Stegostoma tigrinum: one gene and its partner. The protein of the gene in region 1 interacts with the protein of each later gene in a pairwise test. Links are inferred from orthologs where the notes say so. Each region holds a gene or a part of one and is shown on either strand. Other genes may lie near its edges.

Evidence for each region.
Region 2: the proteins of mapk8ip3 (region 1) and ldlrap1b interact in binary tests that used the Homo sapiens proteins (3 or more experiments, as listed by UniProt). The two-hybrid records come from large-scale screens. The link is inferred for Stegostoma tigrinum from reciprocal best matches to the Homo sapiens genes MAPK8IP3 and LDLRAP1.

Annotation. Positions count from the first base shown.
Region 1 is NC_081376.1:48,615,590-48,631,955, reverse strand, and holds the start of mapk8ip3 (C-Jun-amino-terminal kinase-interacting protein 3), read left to right. Parts: upstream 1-7,276; 5' UTR 7,277-7,629; coding exon 7,630-7,929; intron 7,930-16,366.
Region 2 is NC_081377.1:25,458,724-25,475,463, reverse strand, and holds the start of ldlrap1b (low density lipoprotein receptor adapter protein 1b), read right to left. Parts: upstream 7,342-16,740; 5' UTR 7,092-7,341; coding exon 7,007-7,091; intron 6,512-7,006; exon of another isoform or gene 6,443-6,511; intron 1-6,442. UniProt on the Homo sapiens protein: Adapter protein (clathrin-associated sorting protein (CLASP)) required for efficient endocytosis of the LDL receptor (LDLR) in polarized cells such as hepatocytes and lymphocytes, but not in non-polarized cells (fibroblasts).

The DNA of each region.
Region 1 (16,366 bases):
TTATGGTGTACTTGTGTTTGAAGTTGCCCATTTGTCTTACACTCTCCCATGACGTCCAAGAATGGGAGCTGTTTGTTCTAGTCCTTCTCCCCGGTGAATTTTATTCCGGTGAGGGTGTTGTTTATAAGTTTGTGTGTCTCCTCTAGTTTGGTCCGTTTGATGATGACAAAGGTGTCGTTCACGTAGCGTATACATAGTTTTGGTTGGATTAGCAGAAGGGCCATCCCTTCTAGTCTTTCCACCACTGCCTCAGCTATGAGTCCAGAGATAGTTGATCCCGTTGGTGTCCTGTTGATTTGCTCGCATATTTGGCTGTTGAAAGTGAAGTGCGTGGTGAAGCACAGGTCCAGTAGTTTGAACATGTCTGTGGCGATGGTTTCACTGGAGTCTTGCTCTTGTTCCAGTAGTGTTGCTATTGTTTCCCTTGCTAGTAGTATGCCTATCGATGTGAATAGGGCAGTGACATCAAACGATATCATGGCCTCTTTGTCATCTATCTGTCTTTGATGGAGTTGAGGAATTCTTGGGCTGAGTGGATAGAGTCGGGTGACTTGTTGACTAGGTGCTTGAGTCTCCTTTCTATTTCCTTGGCTAATCTGTGTGATGGAGTGCCTGGTACGGTGACTGTGGGCGTAAGGGGTTCTTCCGGCTTGTGCACTGCTGAGCTGGTTTATTGTTTCACCGATGTTTCGTTACCATGCTGGGTAACATCCTCAGTGCAGTCTCCGATGAATTGTCGGTGTGTTTTCCTGCCTGGCTTTTAAACTCTGGGGTCTGTTGCGATGCATTGCCTCACTTCCACTTCTCCTTCGTAGTGGAGTGTAGATGGGGTCGCGTTCAATGTGTTTCAATGTGCACGCTTCATGAAGTGCCATGCTTCTAGGAATTCCCGTGCCTATCTCTGCTTAGCTTGTCCCAGGATTTTGGTGTTGTCCCAATCCTTGTAGATAGAGACGAGCGAGTATCGGTAATGTCTTTTTGTAGCCATTGGTGTTCACTTACTGTTGTTGTTAGTTTCCTGTCTTTCTCACAGTCTCTGCAGGTGATCTTGTAGATGACATTGGTCCTGTCCATGGCACTCCAAAACCAGAGACCATTACTTAGTTTTAATTAACAATAGGTACTCTAGGTGACAATTCTGCCAAATAATGGTTCTTATTACTGACATGACAGAAAGCAACAAATGAATTGAGCATTGCAACATGGTATAACAACAACACAAATGGCAAACTGAATACAATTCTATTATAATGAACATTAAAGTTATACATCTGGTAATACCCTCAAAATTTGGATATAGATTTTAAAGGATACAGATTCTAGTTAACATTCTGTCCTTCAATCATATTAGTCTTGAATGATCAGGGTGAGATGAAGGATAATTAATCTCAAACTTCAATTATAGCTTCTACTTCTAATACCTAATACAGCAGTTTGAGAAATATGGCTTGTATTTCTCTGAAACTATACAGGCAAAGAGCAATTTGGTGCAGTTGAAATATGGAGCATTTAAAGAGGATTATGACCACAGATGTAATTGCAGAAGGGTCATATGCTCATTCTTCCTTGAAAATCTGTAATTCCACCATCATAGTATTTAACAGTCTCCTGAGTAGTTTTTGTCCTTGTTACTCAGATTGAAGATCCTGAAAGAGATAATGAGACCAAACATCAGTTCTGAATTAATTTACATCTAGGGGCTTTCATCTTAAATCGTTATTTAATTTGAAAAAAAGGCTGCAGATGAATTTTCTCCATTTTACTTGCTATCTTAACAATGTCTACAAAGTTGCCTTTCATTTGTATCCTTTTCAGAGCCTAGGTTAGGTTTCTCCTAACACTCGGGACCATCCTTATGGCCCTTTCCTATAATACTTGCTGTGGCTTACGTCTTGTGGTCAGTGGTCTAGATTGATCACAGTGCTTAAGATTGTCATAACATTCAAGGCTATGGGCCTAGTGTGGGAAAATGGTATTAGTATAGATAGGAGTGTACTTTTGGCAGTACAAAACTAGATGGGCCAATGGGCCTATTCTGTACTATGTTATTCAATGAAGGTGAGGTCAGCTCAGAGCACTATACTGCTTCATAATGTTGATTTCAGATTTTAAAGACACAGTAATTTTGCTCAGCATTCTGCTTGCTTTGTTGCTAGACAGAGCACAGCTATTGGAGATGGTTGCTTGTCTTTTATGTATCTCATGCAGCATAAGGCAGCTGCTACTATTAATAATTACCCACAATTATGGAAACGTAAACCATTCCACGCCCAACTCAATATAGATCTGCCAATCCTATAAAATTATTCCTTAATTCCATAATCCTATTCTTAGCAAATTATGTCTGGCATTTAATCAAAAGATTTTTTAATAGTCTAGGTATATGTTGTCATCTAGGTTTTCATCGATCTAAAGATAGATCCTTCATTTAAAAAAAGTCAACTTCATGATATAAGATATTTTTTGACAGACAATCTGTAATTTTTCTAATAATTCCTTCTTTTCCAAGGTGAATTATTACAAATAAATTGGTAACTGTCACAGAAATATGACTCTGACTAGTCTAACTTTTGAATAATGCACAGCTTTCAGAGATAATTTGACAATGCTTCAATATCGTGTGATTTATAACTTTACAATCCAATGTGGTAAGAAGTGTTTGGTTTATATATGTATATATGTACTTTTAAGACTGTGAATTACTGGTTTACTTCTCTAAAGGATTTTAAAAGCAGCTATGTCAGACAATCCTTCTAAAACAGGTAACCTAATGCAGTATGTGTTGGAAAGTATGAAGCTCCTGTAGTGTTAATGGAAACTGTTTTTTACTGTGTTGGTTTATGACAGGGAGTATAATCATTGAATGCCATTAATTTGCTTTTTGTTCAAAATAATCAAAGGTTGATGTTATGCTAGAAAACCCAGAGGTTGTAAATTTTAAGCAGTTTGGAGGAGACAATTGGGGTCAAAACCAGATGCAGTATCTCTCAAGTAATAAGTATGAGACAATTCAAGGAAAGCAGTATAAATGTTTGGCTGTGAAACTTCCAAACCAGGAGTGTTTGATTAGAAATCTGTCAGGTATTAAAAGCTGAGAAAGCCTAAGCTTCCAGCTTTGAGAGTATTCATTTAAAAAGACTTCACAGTTCACAGGATGGTGTTACGGAGAAACAGGTAAGTCAAACTTAAAGGTCAGAATTCACACAACACCAGGATATAGTTTAACCTGATGAAGGAGCGGTGGTACGAAAGCTTGTGATTTCAAATAAATCTGTTGGACTATAACCTGGTGTTGTGTGACTTCTGACCTTGTCCATCCCAGTCCAACACCAACACCTCCATACCAAACTTGAAGATTTGACATAAAGGGGTAATTTCTTCAGATTTGAGTCTCCATGATGGTTAGTGTCAGGAAACAGTATATGTTGTATTTTACTATGTTTTATTCTGCATTCAAATTCAACCTTTCAAAATGAATCACTTCACACTTTTCTGGGTTGAATTCTATCTGCCACTTCTTTGCCCAGCTCTGCATCCTGTTAATGTCCTGTTGCAACCTACAACTCCCCCCCAACGTTCACGTCATTGGCAAATTTACTAAGCCACCCTTCCACCCCCTCATCCAAGTCATTTATAAAGATACCAAAGAGCAGAGGTCCCAGAACAGATCCCTGCAGAACACCACTGGTCACTGAGCTCCAGGCTGAATACTTTCCATCTACTACCACCCTCTGTCTTCTATTAGACAGCCAATTCTGTATCCAGACAGCCAAATTTCCCTGAATCCCATGTCTCCTTACTTTCTGAATAAGCCTACCATTGGCAACCTTATCAAATGCCATGCTAAAATCCATATACACCACACCTAATGCTCTGCCTTCATCAATGTGTTTGTCACATCCTCAAAGAATTCAATAAGGCTTGTGCGGCATGACCTGCCCCTCACAAAGCCATGCCAACTATTTCTAATCAAACTGTGCTTTTCTAAATAATCATAAATACTGTCTCTCAGAATCCTCTCCAATAATTTGCCCACCACAGAAGTAGGACCGACCAGCCTGTAATTCCTAGGATTATCCCTATTTCCTTTCTTGAACAAGGGAATGACGTTTGCCACCCTCCAATCATCTAGTACTACTCCAGTGGATAGTGAGGATGCAAAGATCATTGCTAAAGGGGCAGCAATCACTTCCCTCACTTCCCATAAAACCTTGGGTATATCCCGTCTGGCCCAGGGTACTTAGCTATCTTCATGTTTTTCAACATTTCTAGCACATCCTCCTTCCTAACATCAACATGTTTGAGCATATCTGCCTGTTTCATGCTGTCCTCACAAACAACAAGGTCCCTCTCACAGGTGAATACTGAAGCAAAGTATTCATTAAGGACCTCCCCTACCTCTGTATACAAGTTCCCTCCACTATCCCTGATTGGCTGGCCTCATATGAGGTCTGTCGCCACTACTCTCCCAGGCAGTGGATTCCAAATACTAGCAACTCTCTGAGTAAAGAATTTTTTCCACATCTCACTCCTAGCTGTCTTGCAGACAATCTTGAAATTGTAACCCACTGTTACCAACTTATAGAAACTGAATATCCATACATACCAACTTATAGAAACTGAATATCCTTCTTTACCCTGTCAAAATCGTTCCAATATTTTAAACACCCCAATAAGGTCAACTCTTAATCTTCTCTGCTCCAAGGAAAATAAGTGCAATTTCTCTAATCTTTCCTTGTGTCTAAAAGCCCTCATTCCTGGTATTATTCTAGTAAATCTCCTTTGCATGCTGTCCAGGGCTTTAACATCTTTATTTGAATAAAGATGCCCGGCACTGAGCACAATAGCCCGAATGTGATTGACATCCTTTTAAAGTAACACTTTTACACCTCCCTCCTGACATGCAGTCTGGTTATGAGGGCTCTGTCACAGGTTTTTTAATACTTGTTCACGCGATGAGGATGTCGATGTCTAGGCCAGAGTCAGCCACATTGCTGTGGGTCTGGAGTCACATGTAGTCAACACCTGGTAAGGATGGCAGTTTCCTGAAGGATATTCGTGAATCAGGTGGGTTTTTCTGACAATTGACAATGGTTTCATGGTCAATATCTGACTCCTAAATTCAGATTTTAGGACTCTAACTTCCAATCCTAACTGACTGGAATGCTTGTGCCCAATTCTAATATCCTTTCACTCCCACCTTTGATCCCCTCACAGAGGAGACATTAGGCTTTTAATGTGAGATGTGGTTTGTGTTATCCTGCTGCTGACAGGATAGTGTCACCCCTGAATCCCTGTGAAACCCCACAAACAAAAGCCTCCAGCCTTTTTCTGTTCATTACTTACCTTGTCTGAGCTGCTTCTTTCCTTTCCTGCCATCATTGGCAGTCGGTTAGCTCGGTTGGCTGGACAGCTGGTTTATGATACAGAGTGACCCTAACAATGGAGGTTTATACTCCTGCACTGGCTAATGTTACCCATAAAGATCTCAGCATTGCCCCTTGCCAGAGGTGAGGTGATCCTCATGTCAAACTCACCATGAGTTGTCTCTTGCCTAATTAAAAAAGTAGGAATGTGTGGTGATTTTACCTTAACCACCAGGGCAGAGGATGCTGGAGATGAGAAGCAGCAGATGGAAAGAAATTTATTCCCGGTGCATGATGATTGGGTTAATAAGGAACAAGTTGTTCTGCTTCCACCCACTCAAAAACTCACTATCTGTGGCACATTCCTCCTCAATTCCAGGCACCAGCGTAGATACTAACAAGTGGGACACTGATGGTACCTCCTGCTTTTAACTGATGACACAGTCAGGCTTGGAGGGTTTGAGCTATAGGGAGAGGCTGAATAGGTTGGGGCTATTTTCCCCTGGAGCGTCAGAGGCTCAGGAATGACTTTATAGAGGTTTGTAAAATCACGAGGGACGTGAATAGCCAAGGTCTTTTTACCCGGATAGGGGACCCCAAAACTAGTGGGTAGAGGTTTAAAGTGAGAGGGGAAAGATTTAGAAAGGACCTGAGGGGTAACTTTTTTCACACACGGGGTGGTGTGTGTGTGGAACGAGCCAGAGGAAGTGGTGCAGGCACTTAAAGAACATCTGGATGGGTACACGAAAAGAAAGTCTTTAGAGGGATATGGGCCAAGTATTGGCAAATGGCACTAGGTCAGATTGGGATGTCTGGTCATTGCAGACAAGTTGGAATGTTCCAGACGAGCCTCCTCATGTTAAATTCCAGGTAAATTGATATGTTTCTTAGGGATTGACTGGGGATGGGGAAGGTTGACTAGATTCACTGGAGAGGTAATGAAATTGAAATGAAGGGTGGTTAGTCACAGAGGAATCTGGTTGCCCCTCTGGGTCTTTCCTCTACTCCAGCTCTGTCCGATACCTTTCCTTCCTTTGATCCCATCTTTGTCATGTATTTACTATTCTCTTAGATCTGATCTCTTCATGCTTAGCAAAGTACTGTTTTATCTCTCCGGGAAGGCAGTGATGTAGTGGGAATATCACTGGTCTAGCAATCCAGAAATGTATATTCTGGGGGAGGGGGAGAAATTCATTATCCCACTGTAGCAGATGGTAAGACAACTCAATTTGGAATTAAAAGAAGGTCTACTGATAATCATTATTGATTGCTGTAAAAACACATCTACTTCACTAGTGTCTTTTAGGGAGGAAGGCTGCTGGCTTTATCTGATCTAGACTACATGTGACTTCAACCCCACAGCAATGTGGTCAACTTCTAACTGCCCCATAAAATGACCTGGAGAACCAATCTGTTCATGGCAATTAGGGTAACCAACACCAGCCTTACCAGTAATGCCTACATCTACAAATAAAGTGGATTTTGTGGATTGTGCTGGTGGTTGCAGTTGGAGGCTGCCTGATTGCAGTTTGCTGGCTGCACTGGGAAGCTGCCTGATTGCAGTTTGCTGGCTGCACTGGGAGGCTGCACTGGGAAGCTGCCTGATTGCAGTTCGCTGGCTGCACTGGGAAGCTGCCTGATTGCAGTTTGCTGGCTGCACTGGGAGGCTGCACTGGGAAGCTGCCTGATTGCAGTTCGCTGGCTGCACTGGGCAGCTGCACTGGGAAGCTGCCTGATTGCAGTTCGCTGGCTGCACTGGGAGGCTACACTGGAAAGCTGCCTGATTGCAGTTTGCCGGCTGCACTGGGAGGCTGCCTGATTGCAGTTTGCTGGCTGCACTGGGAGGCTGCCTGATTGCAGTTTGCTGGCTGCACTGGGAGGCTGCACTGGGAAGCTGCCTGATTGCAGTTTGCTGGCTGCACTGGGAGGCTGCCTGATTGCAGTTTGCTGGCTGCACTGGGAAGCTGCGATCTCCCACAATGCAGACAGCCTGCCCTGACGTCAGATGACAGCGTTCGGAGCTGCTTGTGTTGTGGGGGCGGAGGAGGTGGATATTTTTTTGAGGATTAAGGGTGAGGGAGGGACCGGACTGTCCGCTCGCTATTGTCTGCAGAGAGAGAGAGGGGAAGGAAGGAAGGCTCCAGACCTAACCCCAACCCCAGCGGCGGCGGAGCGGGGATGCAGTGAGAGCGGCTCAGCCCGCACCTCCCCTCTCATTCCGTGAGCTCACTGCCGGGGCTGTATCCTTCTGCCGGCGGCCAGGATGATGGAGCTGGACGATGGCGTGGTCTATCAGGATGACTGCTCGGTGTCCGTCATGTCCGAGCGGGTCTCCGGCCTCGCCAACAGCATCTACCGGGAATTCGAGAGGCTCATCCACAAATATGACGAGGAGGTGGTGAAGGAGCTGATGCCGCTGGTCGTGAACGTGCTGGAGAACTTAGACTCGGTGTTCACCGAGAACCAGGAACACGAAGTGGAGCTGGAGCTACTCCGGGAGGACAACGAGCAGCTTCTGACTCAGTACGAGAGGGAGAAATCCCTCCGAAAGCAGGCAGAGGAGGTGAGTGCAGACAAACGAAACAACCCCCCCCTACCCACTTTACATTTATCACTGCCTCAGATTGATCGTTGTCTTCTATCTCTCAAATGTGTCAGCGCCTGAAGCCCCTCACGTTCAGAAAACACTTCATTTTACAGAACCCTCACATTTCAGTCCCTCAGGTTAATCAGACCCTTTATGTTTTGAACTGAATCAATTTTTATATGTCCTTCAGTTTCTCAGTTTTTCATCTTTTTAATTGTTCCAGTTCCCCCAATTTTCCAGTTCCCCCAATTTTCCAGTTCCCCCAATTTTCCAGTTCCCCCAATTTTCCAGTTCCCCCCGTTTGCAGCGTCGATTGCTTCAACCCAAGTGCGTTAATTTAATCATACATCTATTTTTCAACATGGTTTGTTTGATTACTGTAAACAGCAGTAACTTTTAGAACTAAATATTGAATTAAATAGCCGTTCTCTCCCTGAATGTGTCTATGTTCATGTAACATGTTTCTTAGTTACCGCATTTCTGACCTGCCTCAAAACGGCCCGTGCTTCGGGCGGGTCGCTATCAGTCGCTAATCGTCGATTAATTTAATGAAAGGGATTTTATTTCTCGTCTCCCCTGATTTAACCAAACAGAAAATATAAGCGCCGAAGAATGAAAGTTCAGCTGAGTAAAGTAACGCTGAATTGAAACACTTGTTTGTTGTGCAGAGGCTAGCACAGAATAAATGTTGCCATTTTGGATTCCCTTGTCAATCTGATGCGAGCGAATTGATCCTTCTGTGTTGTTGCTCTCCACCTAGACACTTTGTAGCGTCTGCATTTATGTTTACATTGGCGACTTAAATGTGTTTTTTGTTGTTTGAGGGGTCCATCTCCATGTGATTTGAGCTCTGTGCTGTGAATGTATGGGCCAAGCTGCAGTGGGAACAATAGTCATTTTTTTTCGCTCTGCAGATTTCTGCAAAGATCTTGGCACCTTTTCAGTGCTTCTTAATGTGGTAGTTAGGACAAACGAGGAGGGTGGATTCAGTTGGGGGTGGGGGGGATGTCTAAAACACGGGGAGCCATGTTGGATAGATTCCAGGCTGAGAGAGACTGGAGGGGGTGTGGGCCTTCACTTGGGCTCCTCATAGGTTTACCCTGTAAAAAGAAATGTAGGCCTTCAGTCCAGTAGATGAGAAACCTCCAAGGAATATATTTAACCCAGTAGAATCTGGAACAATGCAGGCTGTCACACTGTTAGTAATGCAGAAATGGATAGTCTCGCATTCTGCAGAATCTAGAAACTTCTATAACATAGAAGGAACTGCAAGTAAGCCTGGAATGGATATATCGAGTCTAGACTGAGTGAGTGTGTTGAATTCCAAACTGAAGATGGAGTGTTACTATTATAATGATGAATAGGACAAATAATCAGAAAGCACACAAAAAAAAACTTGTGGCTCCCCAGTGGATGCCTAACGGGCTACATGGTTTGATATTGAGTTAGAAAGGAAGAAGATTCTAGACTTTATCCCAAATGCGTGCTGAGTTAGCTATTTTTGACTAAGGTAATGGTAATAATCCGTCTTCCTTAGCCTGAGGAGCCAGTGTTTCGTTTCAGTCATTCACGGGTTATGAGCATCACTGGCATGTATTGCCATGCCCGATTTGCCCTGGAGAAGGAAGTGGTGAGATGCCTTTTTGAACCATGGTGTGTGGGGGCATCAACAGTTTCCAGAGTAAGGAAAGGGGAATATTGGGCCAATTTTCATTCTTGTGATTCAGTTAGTGACCTCCACCAGTGATTGATGTAGAGGGCAGACATGAGCAATCTTAGCTCAGGTACCACCCATTTTCCCCACCAGTCGGGGGGGGGGTGGGGAGAAAAGGAGTTGCAATTTCTTTGAAGCTTTCACAAACTCAAGATGTCTCAATTCTTCACAACCGATGGACTTCCTTTAATAAACAAATGGTTCTGGGCAGTAAAGATGATGTTTGGTACGCTTGCCATCATTTGCCAGTGCATTGAGTACAGATGTTGGGATGTCATGTTGCGGCTGTACAGGACTTTGGCCAGGCCATTTTGGATTACTGTGTTCAATTCTGGTCTTCCAGCTGTAGGAAAGACGTTGAACTTGAAAGAGTGCCGGAAAGATTAACAACGATGTTGCCAGGATTGGAGGGTTTGAGCTGTGGGGAGAGGCCGAGTAGCCTGGGACTACTTTCCCTGGAGTTTGAGGTTGAGGGGTGACCTTATAAAATCCTGATGGGCTTGGATAGGGTGAATAGCCAACATCTTTTTCCCCAGGGTAGGGGCAAATAAAAACTAGAGGGCATAGGTTTAAGGTGAGTGGGGAAAGCTTTAAAAGGGACTTGAGGCAACATTTTCATGCAGAGGGTGGCATGTGTCTGGAATGAGCTGCCAGAGGAAATGGTGGAGGCTGGTACGATAACAACATTTAAGACATTTTGGCTACATGAATAGGAAGGGTTTAGAGGGATATGGCCAAATGCTGGTACATGGGACTAGATTAATTTTGGGATATCTGGTCAGCATGGACAAGTTGGATCAAAGCATCTGTTTCTGTACTGTACGATTCTATGACTGTATTTACCCCTTTGAGCCTGCTCCACCGTTCAGTAAAATCTGATTGTGATTGTAATTGTAACTGCAACTCCAGGTTCCTGTCCACTGCCAATAACCCTTTGCCCCTTTACTTGCTAACAATCTACAGAATGGAGCAAAAAGTCCTGGCTGCTCTGCCTTTTAAAAATAGTCAAAATCTCTGCTTCCATTACCTTTACCTTGGAATAGGGTTCCAAAAATCCTCAGCGAAAAATGCACCGCACTTCAGTATTAAATCGATAGCCCTTTATTTTTGAACAGTGATCCGTAGTGCTCCACGAAAGGAAATGTCCTTTCCAAGTCCAATTGGTTGAGCTCCTTTTGAAGTGTAGTCATCATTATCAGGTTGGAAACATGATGGCTATTTTCTCCACAGAAAAATCTGGCAATATAACCAGGTAATGGTTTAAGTGATGATGTTTGAGTGTTTAATATTGGCAAGGGCACTGGGGAAAGCTCTACCAATCTTACTGAAATGGTGCTGCAGAATCTTTTAAGTCCACTTGGGTAGAGGGTAGATGGTTCCTCAGTTTAATGGCTGATCTGAAGGACAGGATTCCTGATGGTGCCACACCCCTGCAGGAACATCAGCCTGGATTTTGTGCTCCGTTCTATAGACTGGGGTATGACCACACAGTCTACCAGTGCAGAGGCAGGAGTTCTACAACTGATGGGTAAACGACTTCCCTAAAATTAGTGTCTTGGATCATGCAGAAATGATAGCCACTTGAATATGAAACCCAAGGAAGTGTGTTCCAATGTGAAACATTGTAATGCGCATACTCGAATTGTTTTTTTTCCTCCCACCCTAAAGCTGGAAACGTTTGGACCTTAAGAAAATTAGCAACTACCAAAGAGAGAAGTAATGGCTGTGGGGTAGTTTTCTAAGTGTGGTCTGTGGTGGGAAACCCTGATTATGGTCAGCAGATATTGGGAATATTGTATGTGTCCTTCCAGAGAGTGTTATCCTGCAATTTCAGTCGACTGGAAGTAGTAAACGGGATAGCTGAGAGTTCTGACAGCTGACTGTGACATTGCAAGTGTCCCTAGGTAATTGCCCTATGTATTCCTGCCCTATGTATTCCAGCCCTATGAACATTTCAGAAATGTGAGCTTTACTGCACCATACTGATGTGCTGAGTCTCCTACTTCTGGCAAAATTCGGAACCTACAAGCCTCAGTGGACTGTGCAGGTGCTTTTACAAGGCCTTGTCCCTCCCTGGCATCCAGTTCTTCACTCCATCCAAAATCTCTGTTTCTTCAATTTCAGTTCCTTGCACATTCCCTGAGTTAATTGCAGCACCATTAATATGTGGGCTTTCAGCTGCCCTGGACTTGAATCTTTGAAATTTCCCTCCCTAAACTGTACCATTTCTCCTATTCTGTCAGAGATAATGGGAACTGCAGATGCCATTTCTCCTATATCTCTTTCTGAAATACTCCTCAAATGCTATGCCTTTAATCAAACTTCTGATCATCTGTTGTAATATCTCTGCGTGTCAAATTTTATTCGATTATGCTTCTGGCCACACTTTGGGCTGTTTTATTATGTTGAAGTTATTATCTGAAGGGAAGGTGTTGTTATTTGAAATAGAAAATCAATAGGACTTGATTTTCTCTGATATTTTAATCAAGAATATTGTCCTTAATACATGAAATATTATCATTTCTATAACTCATAATGACAATCGTTTGTTCGTTCACTTTATAGTATATAGTTTTATTTTAGATATTTTATTTTAGTTTCATTGTTTTTTTAAAATTATGTCATAGCTAGCAATAGTTTGTTTACTTCCTACTATAAATAGAATGTGGTTAAGAAATTTGGTAACTGTGGTTAAGTTGTTAATGACAGTGCCTGAAATGAGAACAAAAAACCTAAATGATACTGCAGTTATCTAAATAGTTTTTTTTTATTATCAAGTTAACAATTTTTATTCCGCAAGCCATAATGCACTGGTCTGACCTGTTCCTTACCTATCCATTTAGCCACTGGGTAAGTTTAACAAGGGCTATGTGTTCTTTCTCTTTCTTTTGGATTGGGTAAAATATATAGAGCTAGGTTTCCATGGGACAGCTGTTAGTTGTTTGTATGGAAGGTTTGAGTTATGAGGAAAGGCTGGATAGGCTGGGATTTTTGTCATTGGAGTGTAGAAGGTTGAGGGGTGACTTGATAGGAGTTTACAAAATCATGAGAAATATAGATAATCTGCTTCAGAAGGCATTGTGGGGGAAGCACTACTAAATATTTTTTGGGCAGGGGGTTAAGTCTTGTCAGGCAGGAAAATCAAATGTTTTTGGGAATGCAAACAGAGCAGCCATAATCTTGTTAAATGGCAGTGGATCAGGTTCAAGAGGCCATATAGCTTACTTTGCTCCTAGTTTGTATTATACATTTTAAAATATTCATCTCTTAAATAGGGTTCAATCTAGCCTGGTTTAGATGTGCAATCAGTTGGATCTGTACCTAAGTTGACTAGTAATAGATTTCCATGGGCTGGTTCATTTTAAAATTGAGCATCAAGTCAGTTCATTTTTAGTGTTTCTGTTTATTTTTCCAATTTGTAACTTACGGATAGTGGGATGCAGGGGTTAGTGCACTACATTGTGAGAGGCGGTAGATTTGAAGGAGGCAGTTTTGTAATTACAATATACTTTAGGCAAAGTGTGTTCAAGGGCATAATAACACAATTTAATGCTTTTAAGAATGGCACATGGCTAGGATGAATGAATGACATGTACTTCAATGATGTTGTAATAGCTGCAGAAAAGGTTTAACATCTAATACGTATGAAGGAATGCTATGACCCAATTAATCCTTTAGCTCAAAGAGGGCTAATGGTATTCCATGCTTACTCTGTCTGTTCATAAACCTTTGCCAATGCAAATAAATTCCCATTTGCATTCCCAGGAATTGTCTCTGTCATGTAGGTTTTAAAAAATCTGCAGAAATGCTAACATTTAAACCAGTTTCGTAGACTCAGGCCAAAACCGATATGCCACTAGTTTAAAATCCAAACTGTTAAGATACATATCAAGCACACATTTTACATTTCAGAAGCTGACAATTTCCAAACAAGCAGAGCTTTGTTTGCCAGAAAGCAAGGGATGCATTGGAGGAAAGGTAGGGGAGAACGAAATGCTGCGTTCCAGTGTGGAGGTTGTGTCATTACTCAAGATTGGCAAAAATTAGCCTTTTTGACTTAGAAAGGAAATACCTGAGAGCAAACCTGTTTGAAATAAAGAAGATTGTCGTGTCAATGGGAGAAGTAAATCTGGAGTCGTCTTTTGCATTGAACAATGAGTGAAGCAAGGGTCATGGGTTCATACCGGTAGAAGGTAAATCTGACACTGTAATTCACAGAGCAAATTGCACTGGCAAAGGGCTTCTGGGAAAATTAGTGGAAATGGAAATCTTGGAATCTGGGGGCAAAAAAGTCAGTTTACTATTAGAATTGTAGGTGACAGCATCATGCTGGGTAAACAAACTACGGTAAAGCCAGTTGACCTTCTTTGGTAATTGCTTTATGATCTGAACATTTTCATCTCTAACTGGGTTTACTCCAGTGTGGTTTAGATGATGATCTTTTGGTGTGAATGGCCCTCCTAAATTATTTGTTTATAATCGGGGTTACTAGGATGGCTGAAATGGTAATTTCAGAAATCTTCCTGGCCTCGCTCACTATGATGAGACAGAGAGAACAGAGGGGTGGTTAGTACCTGCAAAGTCCTGGAAGTTAGATTTTGTGGGTTTCCTGTTGAATTTAGTTGCCCATCCTCTTAAATGCTTTCAATGTGTCCCATTTGGGAATCAGACATTGTATAATTACAGGTAAGCTTAGTGAACCAGAGCAGGGACATCAGTTTTGCCCACAAGCTGTGCTGGAAAGTATCAGTCTACTTCCTGGAATGGCAGGATTGATGTCTGAAATGAAACAGGATTGGTTACGACTGTATTCATTGGCCTACAGAAGAATGAGGGGGCACTCATAGCAATTTATAAAATTCAAACAAGGCTGGACAAAGTAATTGCAGGAAGTATGTTCCCAGGGAGTCAAGAACTGGGGTCACATTGTAAGGGTACGGCGGAGGGCGTTCGGGATCGAAATGAGGAGAAATTCCTTCACCCAGACAGTGGTGAGTCTGTGGAATTCTCCGCTGCAAAGTGTTTGAAGCCGAAACATTGAATGTTGGATGTAGTTCTTAGGCTGAAGGGATCAAAGGCTATGGGGAGAAAATAGGAGCAAGGTATTGAGTTGGATAATCAGCCATGATTTATTGAGCAAGGAGCAGGTTTGACAGGCTGAATGGCCTGCTCCTGCCCCTGTTTTCTGTGTTTCTAATACCACTGCCATCCAGTTGTTGTTACCTGTGACAACCAAGAAATCCTCCAGTGTTAAATTTGGAACTCTGAGGAAGCAATCTTAGACAAGCAGCCATATTAACATACTTCCGTGACTGGCCTGTTTCTATGGAGTATGTTCACCTTCTGCTGCCAGTTTTCCTCTGAAAAAATCCAAACATTGGAGGAGTTTGGGGCCAAGTTTTTTGTTTTGGTTAAAATCTTCAGCACTAACCTCGGTCTTGCACTGTCACTCACATGTTGCTGAGGGTTAAAGTTAACCTGTGTTACTCTTGGTAACGTTTACACAGATGCTGTGAGAGAATCGTCTTCCAAGGTTCGGGTGGTGATGCACTGCAGGAGCAGAGTTTAGGGAGCACTGGGTTCCTCTCTCCACAGATTCTGCCTGACCTCAGTATATCCAGCATCTTCTGTTTTTGTTCCATATTTTCAGCGTTCGTAGTATTTTGCTCCTGTTTCTGTGCTCTGCACGCACTCCTTGTACCTTCTGTGATGTGGCATAACATTTTGATGTCTTTCACCTTGATGAGCAGAGTCTTTCTCCAAAAAGTAAGCACTTTGGCACCTTTAAGGGTTATGAATTGTTATGAAAGATTATCTTTGTTGTGTTGAACAGAACAGTGGCCTGTGATGCTGCCAGACAGTCAGACTTCGATATTGAGTACCACAAGAGACATGTTCCGTGTCCCTGATTGCATCCTTTGGGACACTAGTCATCTTCACTGCTATAAACAGCAATCTTACTGAGCATGAGAGCAGGCATGGGCCATTCAGCCCATCATTCCTGCCCTGCAATTCAATATGGTCATTGCTGATAAAGCTTCAATACCTCTTTCCTGCACTGTCCCCATATCCCTTTGTTATTGAAATATTTCTAAATAACGATCTCTATCTTAAGCATACTCAGTGACAGCTTCCACAACTCCCTTTGTGATTTTTTGGAATTTTCTATCCAATCTTATGAGTGGGGAAAAAGAAGTTATCTGCACATCTGCCAATGTGTCATACTGTATCCACTGTGCCCGGTGTGGCTTTCTCTACATTGGGGAAACCAAGCGGAGGCTTGGGGACCGCTTTGCAGAACACTTCCGCTCAGTTCGCAATAAACAACTGCACCTCCCAGTCGCAAACCATTTTAACTCCCCCTCCCATTCCTCAGATGACATGTCCATCATGGGCCTCCTGCAGTGCCACAATGATGCCAACTGAAGGTTGCAGGAACAGCAACTCATATTCCACTTGGGAACCCTGCAGCCCAATGGTATCCACGTGGACTTCACCAGCTTCAAAATCTCCCCTTCCCCCACTGCATCCCAAATCCAGCCCAGCTCGTCTCCTCCCCCAACTGCATCCCAAAACCAGCCCAGCCTGTCCCCACCTCCCTGACCTGTTCTTCCTCTCACCCATCCCTCCCTCCCACCTCAAGCCGCACCTCCATTTCCTACCTACTAACCTCATCCCGCCTCCTTGTCCTGTCCGTCT
Region 2 (16,740 bases), on another chromosome or scaffold:
GTAGATCCAGCTTCTTGCTCATGCCTTTGGCAGGATACAATTTAATGGACAGAAAATTACAGGCTGTACATACAATTTTCTAGCATGACAAGGCTCTGGCCAAAGTGCATAAGAGGAAGATTTACACAGTGTTCAACTTGACCATTTGACAACACTTAAAGTAAATCAAGATTATTTTGGCTCAGGATGAGAACAAGTAATGAAATTGGGCAAGTGTTTTACTGAGTTTCTATGCAGTTGCATCCGTATTAAGAAACGATAACTAATTTTTCAAAAGCATAATAACCAATTGTTAAAGAAATTTGAGATAACAGCATGTTGAAAACTGTAAAAAAAAGGTAGTTGTGGATTTTGTTTTTATTATTCATACTAGCATCTGAGCATTTTCCACCAATTCTTAAAAAAAGTGTCATTTTCCAATTACTAATTTTAACTTTAGCACATTTTTAAAAATCAATTCTGCCAGGTAGCAATAAACAAATTTCATGGCAGGAAGTGGGTGTGATGGTAGTACACACTTAATATTCACACCACTTTAGATTTAAAAAAACAGATTAAAACACATCTACATGGTGTAGAAAAGATGACTGTGTGAAAACATCAGTGGTAGTTCAAATGAATATAGGTAAGCATTTTAAAAAAAAAGCTATGTTTACTTCACTCTTAAAGAGAGTACAGTGTGCAATAGTATCAGAGATAATGGGAACTGCAGATGCTGGACAATTCCAAGATAATAAAATGGGAGGCTGGATGAACACAGCAGGCCAAGCAGCATCTCAGGAGCACAAAAGCTGACGTTTCAGGCCTAGGCCCTTCATCAGAGAGGGTCTCTGATGAAGGGTCTAGGCCCGAAACGTCAGCTTTTGTGCTCCTGAGATGCTGCTTGGCCTGCTGTGTTCATCCAGCCTCCCATTTTATTATTACAGTGTACAATAGTGCTGGTTCAATCAAAACTAGTTGTTTAATGTAGAAGGGAGTATTTGTATTCCTAAACCACACTTTCCATCTTCAAGCCCCCCCAAAACATATTATAGCCAATTAACTACTTTTTGACTTCTTGTTATTTTGTAGGAAAATACAGCAGCCAGTTTTCACTTTAATTTCCACAAGGAACACTGGCAAGTGACCAACAAATTTGTTTTAGTAGTTGAGAGAAGCTAGGACAATCGTGCTCTTCAAATACAAATGGTGTTTTGTTTTTAAACCTGACGTCCACTGGTTCTTGGTTTTATGTTTCATTTGAAACACCGTCCCACCAACAATGTAGCACTTCCTCCATGTCAGTGTTGGACTGCATTAGCTGCTCAAATCCTGAAACAGGACATCAGCTTGCAGCCTTCAGACTGAAGAGCTGGAAATGGTACAACTGAACCAATATTACAAAAGGCAGGAGACTTACAGAATGGATAAATCCAAGTGTATTTCCTTGTTTGTGTTGAGTAAATGACCTTGAACAGGATATGGTTACAGAAGTGGTATACACATTGAAGGTCAGTGGAGAGACATAATAGGTGAAGCATTCTGCTGGTAAGAGCTGTAGACTTTCTAGAAGACACTGGCTGGATGTCAGCAAGGGTGTTGTGTGCATCTGGGCATCATAGATCGGGAAGGATGTGAATACATTGGAAAGAGGGTATAAAAAGTGTTAACCAGAATAGTTCCAAGAAAAAGAAATTTCAGTTATAATATACTTTGGAGAAGCTGAGGCTGTTTTCCTTTGAAAGAGGCTAAGAGGAAGTTTTAGAGTAGTGTTCAAAATCGAGGTGTTTGGACAAAAAGGCAGGGAGACAGAAATTCTTTCTTATGAAAACGGACCAAAGACTGAGGGAGCAAGATTAAAATTAACTTACGCAAATGTGTTCTGAGGGGAAAAACCCACTTTCCACACTGCAAATAGTTGGGAATGCAATGCCTAGCATGGAGGCAGCTTCAAACAAAACTCTCAAATTACATTATTATTTGAGTCGAAACAACATGCGTTAGGAGAGAAAAAACCATGGCACTCAGTCATAATTCTCATTAGGAAAGCCAGCACAGACAGACAAGCTAAACAGCCTTCACCTCCACCATTGCAATTCTATAATTCCATAATCAATTCCATAGTTTAGAGGCAAAGAATATCAAGTCTTATTCCTGATCACTTTAGTGAAACACTAAAAATGCACCCAAGGCTAAGAATGACACAAAGCAAAGTTCTGAAGAGTCACTGGCCCAACAACTCAGTGATATTGCTCCCACAAGTTCATAAAACTGGAGAATGACGACATAAGAGAACTGATGGTATTAATTGTAACAAAATAATTTCGAACATTAGTTGCTACAGTAACAAATTCACTGGATTAGTCTCTAAAGTTTTGTTACAATAGGTGTTGGAATTCAAATAAACAAGTTCTAGCCATTAAATTCACTGGCATACACAAAATATTTTCTAATCAACCTATTTGGATATTAATACACATTCTGGAGCAGGTGGGACTTGAACACAGGATGCCTGTTCCAGAGGTAGGGACACTATCATTTGTACTTCTACTGACTAGCACATCACTTATTTAGCATACCAACTACCTCAATAATAGATGCCAATAAAATCTTGCTTTATTCATATTCAGACAATTTCAGAAGGGGGATGTTTAGCACAATTCATGACTTCAGTTATTAAAATTAGCCTCTGTCTACATACAGCAAGATATAGACAACATCCAGGCTTGAGCTGATTAGTTGCATTTAACAGTCCATCTCCCCTTAAACTTACAACAATGCTCAGGTCCCCACTAACATTCATGGGACTACCATTGACCAGAGACTGAACTGGACCAGCTGTATACATGCTAAGGCTACAACAGCAGATCAGAGGCTAGGGATTCTGCACCAAGTAACTTACTCCCCAATTCCCCCAAAGCCTGGAGCACCATCTGCAAAAGGCAGAAGTCAGGAGGGAGGTAGAAAACTTTCCATTTGCCTCCACAAGTGTAGCGCCAACACAAACTTGCCTCAGCCCAGGCAAAACTGCCTCCTTGATTGGCACCGTAGCCACAAAGATTCTGTTCCTCCACCATTAGGGTAGAGTGGAAACCAAGTTTATCACCTTCAAGATGCACTGAGGTAACTCACCAAGGCTTGATCAACAGAACCTTCCAGACCCACAAACTCTACCACCTTGGAGGGCAAAGCCAGTGGATGCACAAAAACACTGCCAGCTGGGAGTTCAATCCAAGTCTTACAGCATCCTGACTTTGAACCATATCCCCCTTCCTTCATAGTCATTGGATCATTATCCTGGAGCTCCGTTGCTAACAGCACAGAGAGTGTACCTGCCCACATGGGCTAGAGTCATTCAAGAAAGTGACTCACCACCACCTTCAAGAGCAACTGGGAATGGGCAATATTCGCTGTCCTTGCGAATAATACCTATATCCTGTGAACAAAAGAAAGACATTTCAAACCTTGGATCATTTAATAGAGATTTTGATTTGGCAAAATGATAAAGAATTACAGGCAGGATTTTTTTTAATGCTTATTTTCCTTCTCCCAAAAAGTATCCATATGCCAAAGTGGCATGATGACCCCAATGGTCCTTAACTGGTGCATTCAGCATTAACAAGACTATTAAAAAGAAGATAGGCTTTCGAAATTGTTTTAGCTGGAGCATTCCGTGGTTCCATGTTTATTTTAAACCAACTGAATTCATAACATGGAGTTAATGAGGGCAAACTGTAAAAGCAAGAGGATTATATAGCTCTGTTTACCAGTCACAAACAGAAGGTTATACAAAAGTAACAGGCTCTGCTGGGCTGGATATAACCAAGCATATGGTTTAAATAGCTGACTATTTATATGCAGAACACATAACATTCCCCCTACCCATAACATTAAACACAGCATGCAGATTTAATGGAACCAATGGTTAGGCAACCTTTGAGTAACAATTTCAGTAGTGCAGTTTAAATAATCTTCCCACCCTTAAATGTTACTGGAAGTGGTATTAATTTAGCACCTTGCTCACATTGGTGCAGTTCTGTTTACATTGCATTTGCAGTAATCTACGCAGTTACAGTTACTCCGCTCAGATGGTCATGATTTAGGAAAGTAGCATTTCAGGATACTTTGTTGGCTGTGGACAAATAAAATGTTCAAAACTGCACAGTATACATCGGTATAGGGTAATCCTTATACTGTGCTCAGAGTTAGTTCAGTTAGTTGTTATTGCTGACCTCAAATTTTATAAACCTCTATAAAAGGGATATAGATCAGGCAAATAGGAAAAGGTCTTTTCCCTCGTGTAGGGGAGATCAAAACTAGAAGACATAGGTTTAAAGGAGAGAGGGGAAAGATTTAAAGGGACCTGAAAGGAAACTTCTTCCACACAGAGGTGGTGCATGCATGGAATAAACTACCAGAGGAAGTGTACAGACAGGTACAGTCACAACATTTAAAAGACATTTGGACAGGTAGACGAATAGGAAAGGTTGAGGGAATATAGGCCAAATGCAAGAAAATGGGACTAGTTTAGTTTGGGAAACCTGGTCGGCATGGACAAGTTGGGCTGAAGGGTCTGTTAATGTACTGCCTGATTCTATACATCTAGAATGATTAAATTATCCTAGTACTATAAAACTAGAATCGCTGTTTTAAACTAAATTTCAATAAGATCAAACATTGCTTCAAAAAGCTGAAGAGGTGCCTTTAATACCCATCTACTCAAATCTTTCTGCTCCATCAGGGTATTTTCCAACTTGTTAAAGCAGCACTCCCAATTCCCAACTTTGCTTCATTACTGAACCTATTTCAAAGCTTCAGGACAGAATTCTGCTTTTCAATAATTTATCGAGCCAGGGCAATGCTGAAAAGTACAGGAAGGAAGAGGAAATTCTATTCATCTCCAGCATTAATCCATGTGTCATTCAGATTAAAGAAAGCCATTTTTCCACTTGTACTGTAGTAACTAATAATAGCTGCTGTACTAGCAGCAAAATAGCTGGAAAGAACTAAACACTGACATCTGTACAACAGATTCCTAATGGTGCTAATTTATCAGAAAGTGGTGTTTATGTTTCAACAGCTGTCTTACGCACAGATGCAGGTCCATCTCTGAATCAGATATGGAGATATCTGGGTGAATACAGCACACATTGACTTACAGGTTTGCAACAGGATTGTGTGAAATATTTCAAAACACTACATCTCGAGCATGTATTTCAATAATTATAGCTTTTCAAATGCGATCCATACTAGTCACCATTCCCCAACAAAACTTCACTAAAGACTTAGTTCAGTATTGCAGAGTTGATGGTAGCATGTCTTTGAATTTGAAGCATCAGCTTATGGTTTCAAACTCGAGCCCAAGACTTGGGCACATAGCCCAATGCATGCTGCAAGTGTGCTGCATTGCCAGTGTTGATAAATTTCTCACAATGACTTTTTTTGGTCAACACACCTAAAAGCACTGTCATTATCTTGAATTATTGTTCCAAATATCAAAAGAAAAATGCTACTAATCATTTACATTATTCACAGGTCACAAAACTTTGCAAAGTATATTAATTAGATCAAGAAGAAATAAGAATTAGGAAAATACACACATGTATCCTTGAGTTCATTAAAACTGTTAATAATATAAATTTTAATTGCAGAAAGGAACTAGTCTTTCCAGTGTAATAGACAAAAATAAGTATAAAATATTCCAAGTTCTGAAAAAAGTCACATGAGACTTGACATGATTTTTCTCTCCATAGATGCTGCCAGACCTGCTGGGATCCTCCAACACGCTCTGGTATTATTTTAGATTGCCAGCACCATAGAATTTTGCTTTTATGAAAGTATTCACATTGACACCTTTCTTGCCAGTTTGAATAGGACAACATTGCACTCAGAACAAGCCAAGAGCTACCCTACTCCCACGGTCTCACAGAAGATGAGCATTAAACAATTTAATACTCCAATCAAAGTCACTAAGCCACCGTAGCTTTTCACTTGAAATTCTCACTGGCAGAAAGGCACTAGTTTAGATACTTACGCAATAATGAAACTCTTCACTGCTTTGTGCCTTGAACAATCGTAGAAACTCGGTCAAAGCAGATAGCTAACAGCACACCAAAACACACATACACACACAAAACAGGTTACACCACGTGAACCGTATCCAATATATATGCAGCCAGAAAGTCTATCATAAATCAAGCAATCTGTAATTTCACGCACACTGTGCACGCGGGAGGATTAGACCAAACCATTCCCCCAGGAACATTTTATGATGTTCGGAGTCTGATTGCACACGACTTTCACATCTGTAACGCACCCTTCACCCTCACACCCCTCCAATACATGCCTTTGAGATTGAACCACTACAGTACAGTGCACATCAACCCAAAATGACCCATAAAAGTGAACGGACATCATGAGTTAGTTATGAACAAGAATTGGAGTGAAGGGGGCAGTTTATAACCTCTCTGATAAAGTCGTCCAGGGCATTCTTAAAATTCCGTCCAGGGCCCTTCGAGAAACTGGGAAATTTGGATCGCAATATGGGCTATTACGTCACAGCCCGAGGAGGAGTCGGTCAGTTTCAACCCGGTTTAAAAAGCAGCTTTTTAAAATAGATAATCGGAATAATCATTAGCTATCGGAGCAATCCAAGGCGGATAGGGCCAGTGATTAACTGGAGTGCAAAAGATATTCACAAATAGTGAAACTGACAGTTTTGGTCAGTTACACACATTGTCACGTTGCAACCGCAAGAAACATGTTGCTGTGTCTCCATTTGTAACCGCGCGTCGTGTCTTTTACGTCGAATTCATTACTCAGCTTTCAGCTTCAAATACAGACAAACATAAAAGTGGAATTACTTCAGGCCCAGGAACATCCGACCAATCGGAAAGAGACACACAGACATTTGTAACAAAAGATCCCAAATGTAACACTATCCCCAAAGTTGTTCTATGCCGAGCAACTTTATCGACTTTCGAACAGCTAAAGCTAGCTCGTAAACTCGGATGGCAAATAAACCTACTTTTGTGTTTGCTACTTCCCCAACTTTGCTTTGCGATGCTGGGACTTCTTATGATCGCTCGTCCCGCCGACTTTAACGCATCCATTATTTATAAACTACTCTCCACGGAAGGGAGGGAAAAATGCAGAAATATTTTACTGGAACCCTCAAGTCAGCCTCCTCTTCTCCTTCAGACACCTCCCATAAACTTTCCAACCCCCTCAATGGAGTTTCAGGGAGGTGACATTTATATGAAACACTACCGCCCACTCATGACGCAGCACGTCCCTGACATTGCGTTCGCCGGTCACTTGTTGAAAGTCGGCTCCTTCAGGACAGCGCGGAAATTCAGAACTGTCAGATCCAACAGGATGTAAACTAATGCGTTGAGGTCATCACACGGGTTGGTCACGGTTGATAATTCATCGGTAGGTCCGAGCCCCTAAAGCGAAAGCGCTCAGTTTTAAAAAAAAAACAGATAAGTTGACTGCATTATAACACAGCGTAGAGCTGGATGAACACAGCACTCCAGGCAGCATCAGGGGAGCCGGAAAGCTGACGTTTCGAGTCGGGACCCTTCTTCAGAGAAAGACTCATGAAATTCTGATGAAGGGTGTAAACCTGAAGCGTCAGATTTCCAGTTCCTCTGCTGCTGCCTGGCCTGCTGTGTTCATCCAGTTCTACGCTGTGTAATCTCTGATTCCAGCATCGGCAGTTCCTACTAACTGTGAGATAACTTGACTGCAGTTGTTGTCAAATTATGTAGAGTCAGTAGGTAAGGTGGAACATCAACGGAAATTGCTAGAAAGACTCAGCAGGTCTGGCAACAACTGTGTACTGAAGCGTCCTGGAGAAGGGTCACTGGACCCAGAACATTAACTCTTCTTTCTGAGTTAACCTTTGAGTCCAGTGATCCTTCTTCAGAACTGCCCTCTCCACAGATGCTGCCAGATCTGCTGAGTCTTTCTAACCATTTCTGTTCTTGTTTCTGATTTCCAGTATCCACAGTTCTTTAGGGTTCTTATAGGTTTAGTCGATAAGCTGGGTTGTGCTAAGTTTGTTAAAATTTCATGATATCCTTCTAAACCTTAACCTCTCTGACTGCTCTGAAGAAGGGTCACTGGACTCAAAACATTAACCCTGTCTTCTTCCCGCACACACTGCCTAACCAGCTGAGTTTCAACAGCAACTTCTGTTTTTGTTTCTCTCTAATAAGCCCTCATACACACATAGCCAACCTGACCCACTCTCTCAATTTCCACTGAAGGGTCACGGTGGGGAAGCACTGTCCTGGAGGCATTTCAGCATGTGACAGCTTTGGTTGCCATTTTCCTTTTTTTGGCACAAAATAAGTGTCACAGATGTTGCAAATTGTGACTAGCCTATAAAATTATTGCTTAGTAGCTCCCCTGATGTTGCAATAGCTAAGTACACTACATGACTACAGATTGTGTTATTCTCATTGATACCATCAGGGCAAGTAGGTTGAAACATTAACTTTCATATTTTCTCAACAGATATAGCCAGACCTGCGCAATGTTTTTGCATTGAAATTCACCTCAGTTTAAGGAGGTCTAGGGTTCGTGCTCGAATTGATGTGCATTGGCTTATTGTTGAAAATATATATGTATAGATACTCAATCTGTGGCCTGTGATCACCAATCCAGGGTTTTTCCTCTGGTCCAAATAAGGAGGTGTGAAATTGCATGCTGGTGAATGTAGAAGCAGAAACACCATTTCTGGTAAGGGAGGAACCATGGTGCATGGTGATGCAATCACTAGAGAATTGCCAATCAGGTTTGGGGTTGGTGGGGGAGAGGGGGGAGGTGGAAATTGCTTCAATAAGTGCATCAGCCCCCAGTGATCACACAGATGCACACACCCTATTCATTCGTATCTACTTGCAGCATTAAACTATGGTGGGAGAAAACTGAATATAAAATAGACTCAGAGAAGTGGGAGAAATTGCTCCTAAACTACATTAGTTGTTATATCCTGCAACATAAGTAGTGGTATACACATGGCCAAAAATAGGATGATGCCAATTTTTACTATTATCCAGGCATTTTCACCATGTAGACATTTGCCATAGCTCACCTGAAATCTCAATGCACTACATACATACAAAATGCTGCACTCAAATTTTACGAGAGATCATTTTCACTGCAGATTCCAATTCAAGATTTGAAATTTCAGACAAGATTCTGATAAATAGAAATCTGCTCAATAATTAGAGAAATTATCAACTCATTGTATAAATTTCCTTTTTAAATCATATTGAACAATGACAATTGGAACTTGCTGTTGTCCACACAATAGCCTTCAAGGGTCTAGGCCCGAAACGTCAGCTTTTGTGCTCCTGAGATGCTGCTTGGCCTGCTGTGTTCATCCAGCCTCTCATTTTATTATCTTGGAATTCTCCAGCATCTGCAGTTCCCATTATCTCTGATACTATATTTTGAGTATCAAAGTTTTAATTTAACTTCTTTCATGGTATGTGGTTCTGGCCCGACTGGGCCAGCATTTATTGCTTGTCCCCAGTTGCCCTTGAGGAGGTGACAGTGAGTTGCCTTTTTGAACCCTATGATCCATTTGGTATAGGTAGATTATTTTGAACATTTAGGAATCAGAAGACATAATAAACAACATTAAAGTGAGCATATATCTTTTTTTCCAAGAAGCAAGATCCAGTCATATGAGGTACAATTCATTATCTGACTAAAAATGGAATACGTACATGAAGAAATAGCTGCCTATTATAACTGATACCTTCCACAGCTGAAATTAAATGCACAAAGTTAAGAGTATTAGTATATTATTTTGATTTTCTTGGCAAGGGGAAAGTATTGGATCTTCCAATTCCACCACCACCATCAGTACCCAGTTTTGATTTAGAATATCAATCAACATAAAGATGCTATTGAATTGTATCCTCTTCACAATTGTCTCCACCTAATCAAATTGTGGCCAGAGTTTGTGAGGCTGTTTCACCTCTACCCAACCATTAGAGAAAATAAAACGTCTCTGTGCTAAGCCACTGATGACATTTTACTGAAATTAACTTGAAACTACCTCACCCCAACTCCATTCCCACCTTCTCAACTGAAAACTGAAACAACTGCAGATGCTGTAAATCAGGAACAAAAGCAGAAGTTGCTGGAAAAGCTCAGCATTTCCAGCAGTGTCAGTAAAGAAAAAAAATCACAGTCGTACAGAACTGTTCTGAGGAGGGGTCACCAGACCCAAAATGTTAACACTGATTTTTTTCCTCACTGACACTGCCAAACCTGCTGAGCTTTTCCAGCAACCTCCGCTTTTGTTCCCATCTTCTCAACTTTCAGTTGGATACTGAAATCCTCAATTTGTGAGAAATCACTCAATCACAGACTGCAAAACTTGTTTCTAGTTATATCCTTTAAAAGTATTTCTTTTTAAGTTGCGTCACCATTCTGAATAACTGCACACGTTTGCTGCTGTGACTTTTGCAAATGGAACTTAATGTATTTGCCTGCTTACCCTAGACAAGAATTTTAATATCTTTAGATTTGACAACTATTTTTATAATAATGAATGCTTTCCATTGCTTTCCAATTACCAATGGCAAAGCAGAATAATTTTTAAAGTGTATTTGAACTTTCAGCACATTTGAGACAATTGTTACCCATTTTGTTTGCAACAAAGTACAGCAATACTGCGCTAGATTCCATGCAAAACTAATTACAGTTCCTGTTATATTAATCTAGAATTGTGTTCACACACATACATTAAAGGAAATGGCTGGTAATATTTTTAATGATGTAACATGTGTTTTCGTTTTGCAATGTGATAAACATGTATGTGATATTGTGATAACATTGCAAACGGAACAACTTCACAATATTTGTATAAACATATACATGAACCACCTCTGATTTTCCAGTTGTATCTAGACATGCTATTAAACTATTAACATCATCTTTTAGGAAGCTTTATTCTGAAAACTCTTCTTAGCTCAAATATATTTTGACCCCTTTTCAATAACAATCTTACTCATATCTTCGTCAACAAATTGGATGTTTCCGAACAACTTTGGTGTAGCTAACGATAAAGTCACATGAGTTGCATCAGGGAGTCAGGTTGTTGTTAGAATCAAAGAATGATAGAATCCCTGCAGTGTGGAAGCAGGCCATTCAGCCCTTCAAGACCATACTAACTCTCTGAATCCCTTCTAGACCCACCCCATCCCTACAATCCTGCATTTCCCATGGCTAATTCGCCTAGCCTGCACATCCCTGAACACTGTGGGCAATTTAGCATGGCCAATTCACCAAACCTGCAAATCTTTGGACTGTGGGCGGAAACTGAAGCAACCGGAGGAAACTAACGCAGATAGAACATAGAACATAGAACAGTACAGCACAGAACAGGGCCTTCAGCCCACAATGTTGTGCCGACCATTGATCCTCATGTATGCACCCTCAAATTTCTGTGACCATATGCATGTCCAGCAGTCTCTTAAATGACCCCAATGACCTTGCTTCCACAACTGCTGCTGGCAACTCATTGCATGCTCTCACAACTCTCTGTGTAAAAAACCCGCCTCTGACATCCCCTTTATACTTTCCTCCAACCAGCTTAAAACTATGACCCCTCGTACTAGCCATTTCTGCCCTGGGAAATAGTCTCTGGCTATCAACTCTATCTATGCCTCTCATTATCTTGTATACCTCAATTAGGTCCCCTCTCCTCCTCCTTTTCTCCAATGAAAAGAGACCGAGCTCAGTCAACCTCTCTTCATAACATAAGCCCTCCAGTCCGGGCAGCATCCTGGTAAACCTCCTCTGAACCCTCTCCAAAGCATACACATCTTTCCTATAATAGGGCGACCAGAACTGGATGCAGTATTCCAAGTGCGGTCTAACCAAAGTTTTATAGAGCTGCAACAAGATCTCACGACTCTTAAACTCAATCCCCCTGTTAATGAAAGCCAAAACACCATATGCTTTCTTAACAACCCTGTCCACTTGGGTGGCCATTTTCAGGGATCTATGTATCTGCACACCAAGATCCCTCTGTTCCTCCACACTGCCAAGAATCCTATCCTTAATCCTGTACTCAGCTTTCAAATTCGATCTCCCAAAATGCATCACCACGCATTTATCCAGGTTGAACTCCATCTGCCACCTCTCAGCCCATCTCTGCATCCTGTCAATGTCCCGCTGCAGCCTACAACAGCCCTCTACACTGTCAACGACACCTCCGACCTTTGTGTCGTCTGCAAACTTGCTGACCCATCCTTCAATCCCCTCATCCAAGTCATTAAGATACAGGGAGAAAATGAAAACTCTGGACAGACGGTCTCTCAAGGATGGAATCAAACCCAGATCCCTGGTGCTGTGAGGCTGCAGCACTAATCACCGAGCTACCATCTCACCCAACCAGCAATGCCCTGTATGATTACCAGGTTTACAGTTAACTGCTACAGATTATGAAGAAACATTACCTGAAGCAACAAGAATTTTGCAAACTAATTTTATTTGAAGAATTACACCTTAATTTTAAATTGCTTTTGCAGTACAATGTTGATGGGCTGGTCAAATACATAGAAGTATGACAAATTTAGTTTAATCCTGAAAAGTTTGAGGTGGTTCATTTGGGAAGACTAACAAGGCATGGTGGCACACAATGTATGGTAAGATCCTAAGAATTACAGAGCATCAGAGTGGTGTACATGTCCCTAGAACCTTGGTGGCAACAGTAGATTAGATCACTTATAAGGTATATAGATTACTTTCCTTTATTAATCAAGGAATTGAATATGAGAGCAAGGAGGTTATGGTGGAGCTGTATATAACATTAATTAGGCCACAGCTGGAATACTGTTCATATTCTGATCACCACACTATAGAAAGAATGTGACTGCACTTAGATACAGTGCAAAGGGTATTCATCAGGATGTCACCTGAATGAAAGAGTTTCAGCCATGAAGAGAGAGCAGATCAGCTGGGGTTGTTTTCCTGAGAACAGAAAAAGCTGAGAGAGGACCTGACTGAGGTGTATAAAATTAAGGAGCATTGATAGAAAGAAACTTTTCCCCTTAGTAGAGGGATCGGTCACAAGGGGACATAGATTAAGGTAAGGGGCAGGGGCTTTCAGGGAGATTTTGGCAGGAAGGTTTTCACCCAGAGGCTTGTAGCTAACTGGATCTCACTGCCTGAAAGGATGGTAGCGGTGGAACCTTCAGAGCATTATAAAGTATTTAGATGGGCGCTTGAAACACCATAGCAAACAACGTTACAGGAAAACAGGCCAAGAGCTGGAAAATAGGATTTGATTAGTAGGTGCTTAATGGTTGGTGTGGACACGATGGTCTGAAGAGCTCCTTTCCCTGCTGAAAACCTTACGCCTCACAAATCAAAGCTCTATGATGTCTATGTTTTAGAATTATATATTTAACTTGATGATTTACATTGCTATTGAGGGCTTATTATGTCTATAATATTTAGAAATTATGACTTCTAGAAATGTTGAATTAGAAAAGACTATATGCAATAATGTTAGTTTATGGCTCAGTTGATAAACATTTAGATCTAAAAAAATGGCCTTTATCACTCCCTTTTCATGCAGTTACATGTAGTTTCAATTACAGCTAAAAATATGATTATAGATCCAACCTCGGAAAGGTAAAATCTAGAAGTGTAACTATTGAATGAACAGTTTTGACAAAATGTAATGTTAAAAATAAAACCTGTCTGAGTGCTTTCTCTGGAGCTATTGTGGAAGGTCCACTGCACAATGTAGGCATTGGAAAGCCACATTACTAGTTTCTAAAAGCAGTCAAGCAAACACTGTCTGCTGTTGCTAGGTTTTTTTAAAATATTTTGATAGACCAACATTAGCGATCCTGATGCTTAGATTTCTGCACAGTCAGCTGCACCCAGTAAGTGAATTTGCTGGGATTCATTCGTGTGAGGAGCTGGGAAAGCCCAGTATCAAACTGCCTCACCAGACAGTGGCAGTTACACATTCAGTTCCAATTCCCATTATCAAAACAATTACCATTGCCATTACATTGCCATAGGACAGTATAGAAGAAGCACTCCAGATGACGCCAAGATTTGATTCTCAAATCTCCATGAGACAGCTACACTATTACAACACAGTGATGCTGGTTATGGCAGGTCAGCTACTTGTCACCATTTGGATAGAATGTGATTCTACCTTTGGTACTTTACTTTGAACTTGCTAATCAAATGTATTAACATAGTTTAGGTGGCACCTTTTTCTTTTTCATTGCTGGTTTTCACTATGTCTGTCACCATTATCCTGTTAAGGTATTACATTTCTGAACATGTAAAAGTAGAGAAAGTGAGTGTTTTAGTCTGCGTTATGATTATAATGTTAGAAAAATAAAACTCGGGTTTCGTAACAAATGTTGGCCTTGTCAGGAATGCCCAAATCTCATGAAAGAGTGAAGGAAATACATTTTTTATTTAAAACTGGACAAAAAAACATTGCTGAAAAAACAAGATTAGCAGGTCACAGCTTGTACACTGAGGTAGCATTTGGCACTGATTCAGCAAGCTCTGCCTTGTACTTGAAAGAACTTTGAAAGCTGTTTGTGTAACAACCTCAAAATTTCTGTAACCTTGCAAGGAAAGATTGATTTAGACATTGTGTGCAACATCTGTTGTAGAGGTCTGAAACTAGCTTTTGGCTCACATGGGTAAGCCTCCAAGTCTTTCCTGGAACTAAACATTGCCTAATGGTGGGCTTGTTTTATGCCAAGGCTGACTCAGAGAGTAGAATTCCCTGTTAGTACATGGTTTTTTTTAGCCATCTGTGTTTTGCACAGAGCACCAGCATTTTGGGAGTGGTAGCTACATATCAATATTTTAATTGGATTTTGCTGGTGACATCAGCATCCTGGGCTCTGTCAGACCCAGAATACCCTGGACACATATGAAAAGTTGCAAAACATGAGGATCTGAGGACTGATGTTGGGGTTGGAGCTGAGCCTTGCACTAGTCTTGCCTGAGAATTTGTCGTCACAATGTCAGTGCAAAAGCAAAAAGCTGTAGATATTGGAAATCCAGAATAAATGCCGACAAAAGCTGGAAATACTCAGCAGGTTGGGAAGAATGTGTGGAGAAAGAAACAGAATTAACATTTCAAGTCTGTGGCCTTCCATCAGGGCAGATCAACCTCAAACATTGACGTCTTTCTCCCTCTAGAGATTCTGAAGGGCCTGTTGAGTGTTTCCAGTTTTTTTTAATTTAATGTGCTCATTGAAAAGCTGTCCATTTATGATTAAATTTCAGGGAGTATTAGAAATGCACTTTAGGAGCCAGAATGAGAGACAATGTAAACATAGAGCACATGTGAATAGGTAAAGGAAACAATATAATTGTGTATGAATTTAATGCTGCCACAGAGGATGTTTCGTGGATGGTATGTCCACATGGGGTTGCCTGCTGCATCCCAGAGGAAGGGATTGTCAGCCACTCAATACCTGTTCGAGGGACCCAGCATCAGGAATGGAACGCCCACTAACAGCCAACCCCTACCCTGTCATACAACCCACCATGGCCTCCCCTTTCATCAAACTCCTCCATGCCTTCACTCAGCTGTGACCTGGGTCTCTCACTGATCCTGGACTCGGATGGGTGCATTACCAGCAACCACCACTGTTCCCAGTGGTGCTGCTTTCAAAGGAGATACATCAGTATTTGATAAATAGTCCTAGAGGAGCCTTGATCCCAGGGAAGGCCTGGAACTGGTTACTAAAGAATATAACTGGCACAAAACACAGTGTGCTTTCCCCAAAGAAGGTGGATGTGTCCTCCCTAATTTGAATTAGATTCTGTCCTTTTTTTTCACTCTAAGTGATGTCAACCTACTCATTCACTTGTTCAGTCTGTAATAAGCAATGTCTAACACAAAAAATAAACCATTTAGTTCAGGAGGTGAACGATCAATGTTTCAGCCCTAAAGAATTCTAACCAAGCAGAGAAACTCCAGAAGCAGCTCACACCAGTCTGGAAAATCTTCACACACCCAACTCCATTTCAGAACAGTGGGGATAGAACCCTGTCAGCTATAGTAGGCTGCAATGTCCAGAGCATTGGGTTTGGCATCATTGCTACCAGAATGGATTGAATGAAAAATATGCAGAAATATATGACCTCCTTGAACAAAAATTAACGGCCTTAATTACTGACAGGACAACCAAAGTTCACAAGTCAGCATTCCACCAGCTCAGGGCTGAAGCTCAAAGCCAAATTTGTAACATAAAAGGCAAGCAATGGGATGAGAAGTGCAAGAAATCCGGCGATACACCTCGCACAAATGAAAAGCCTATTTTGAAGCCATTGGGACCATCTATTGACCAATGTCAAACGGACAATATCTCTTCTGTTTCTCTATGTGGCTCTTTTCTTGAGGATGACAACGCCATTCATCAATGCTGGAAAGATGGAAAGAACATTATCGACAAACCTTTGACCATGAATCCACGTTGCCAGGCAATATTCTCCAGGCTATCACCTCGGTACCCTTTGCTAGAATCCATGATGAACCGCCATCAATGGATCAAATGGATGATAATCAGCAAAGCCCGCAGTCCTTGTCATAGCAGCTGAGGCCTTCAAAGTTATTAGGCTTCTGCTAGTAGGGAGAGTCCACATGCACATCCTTTGCCTGGAAGGCGAGTGAACTACCCACACACACACACACACACACACACACACACACACACACACACAAACACACACACA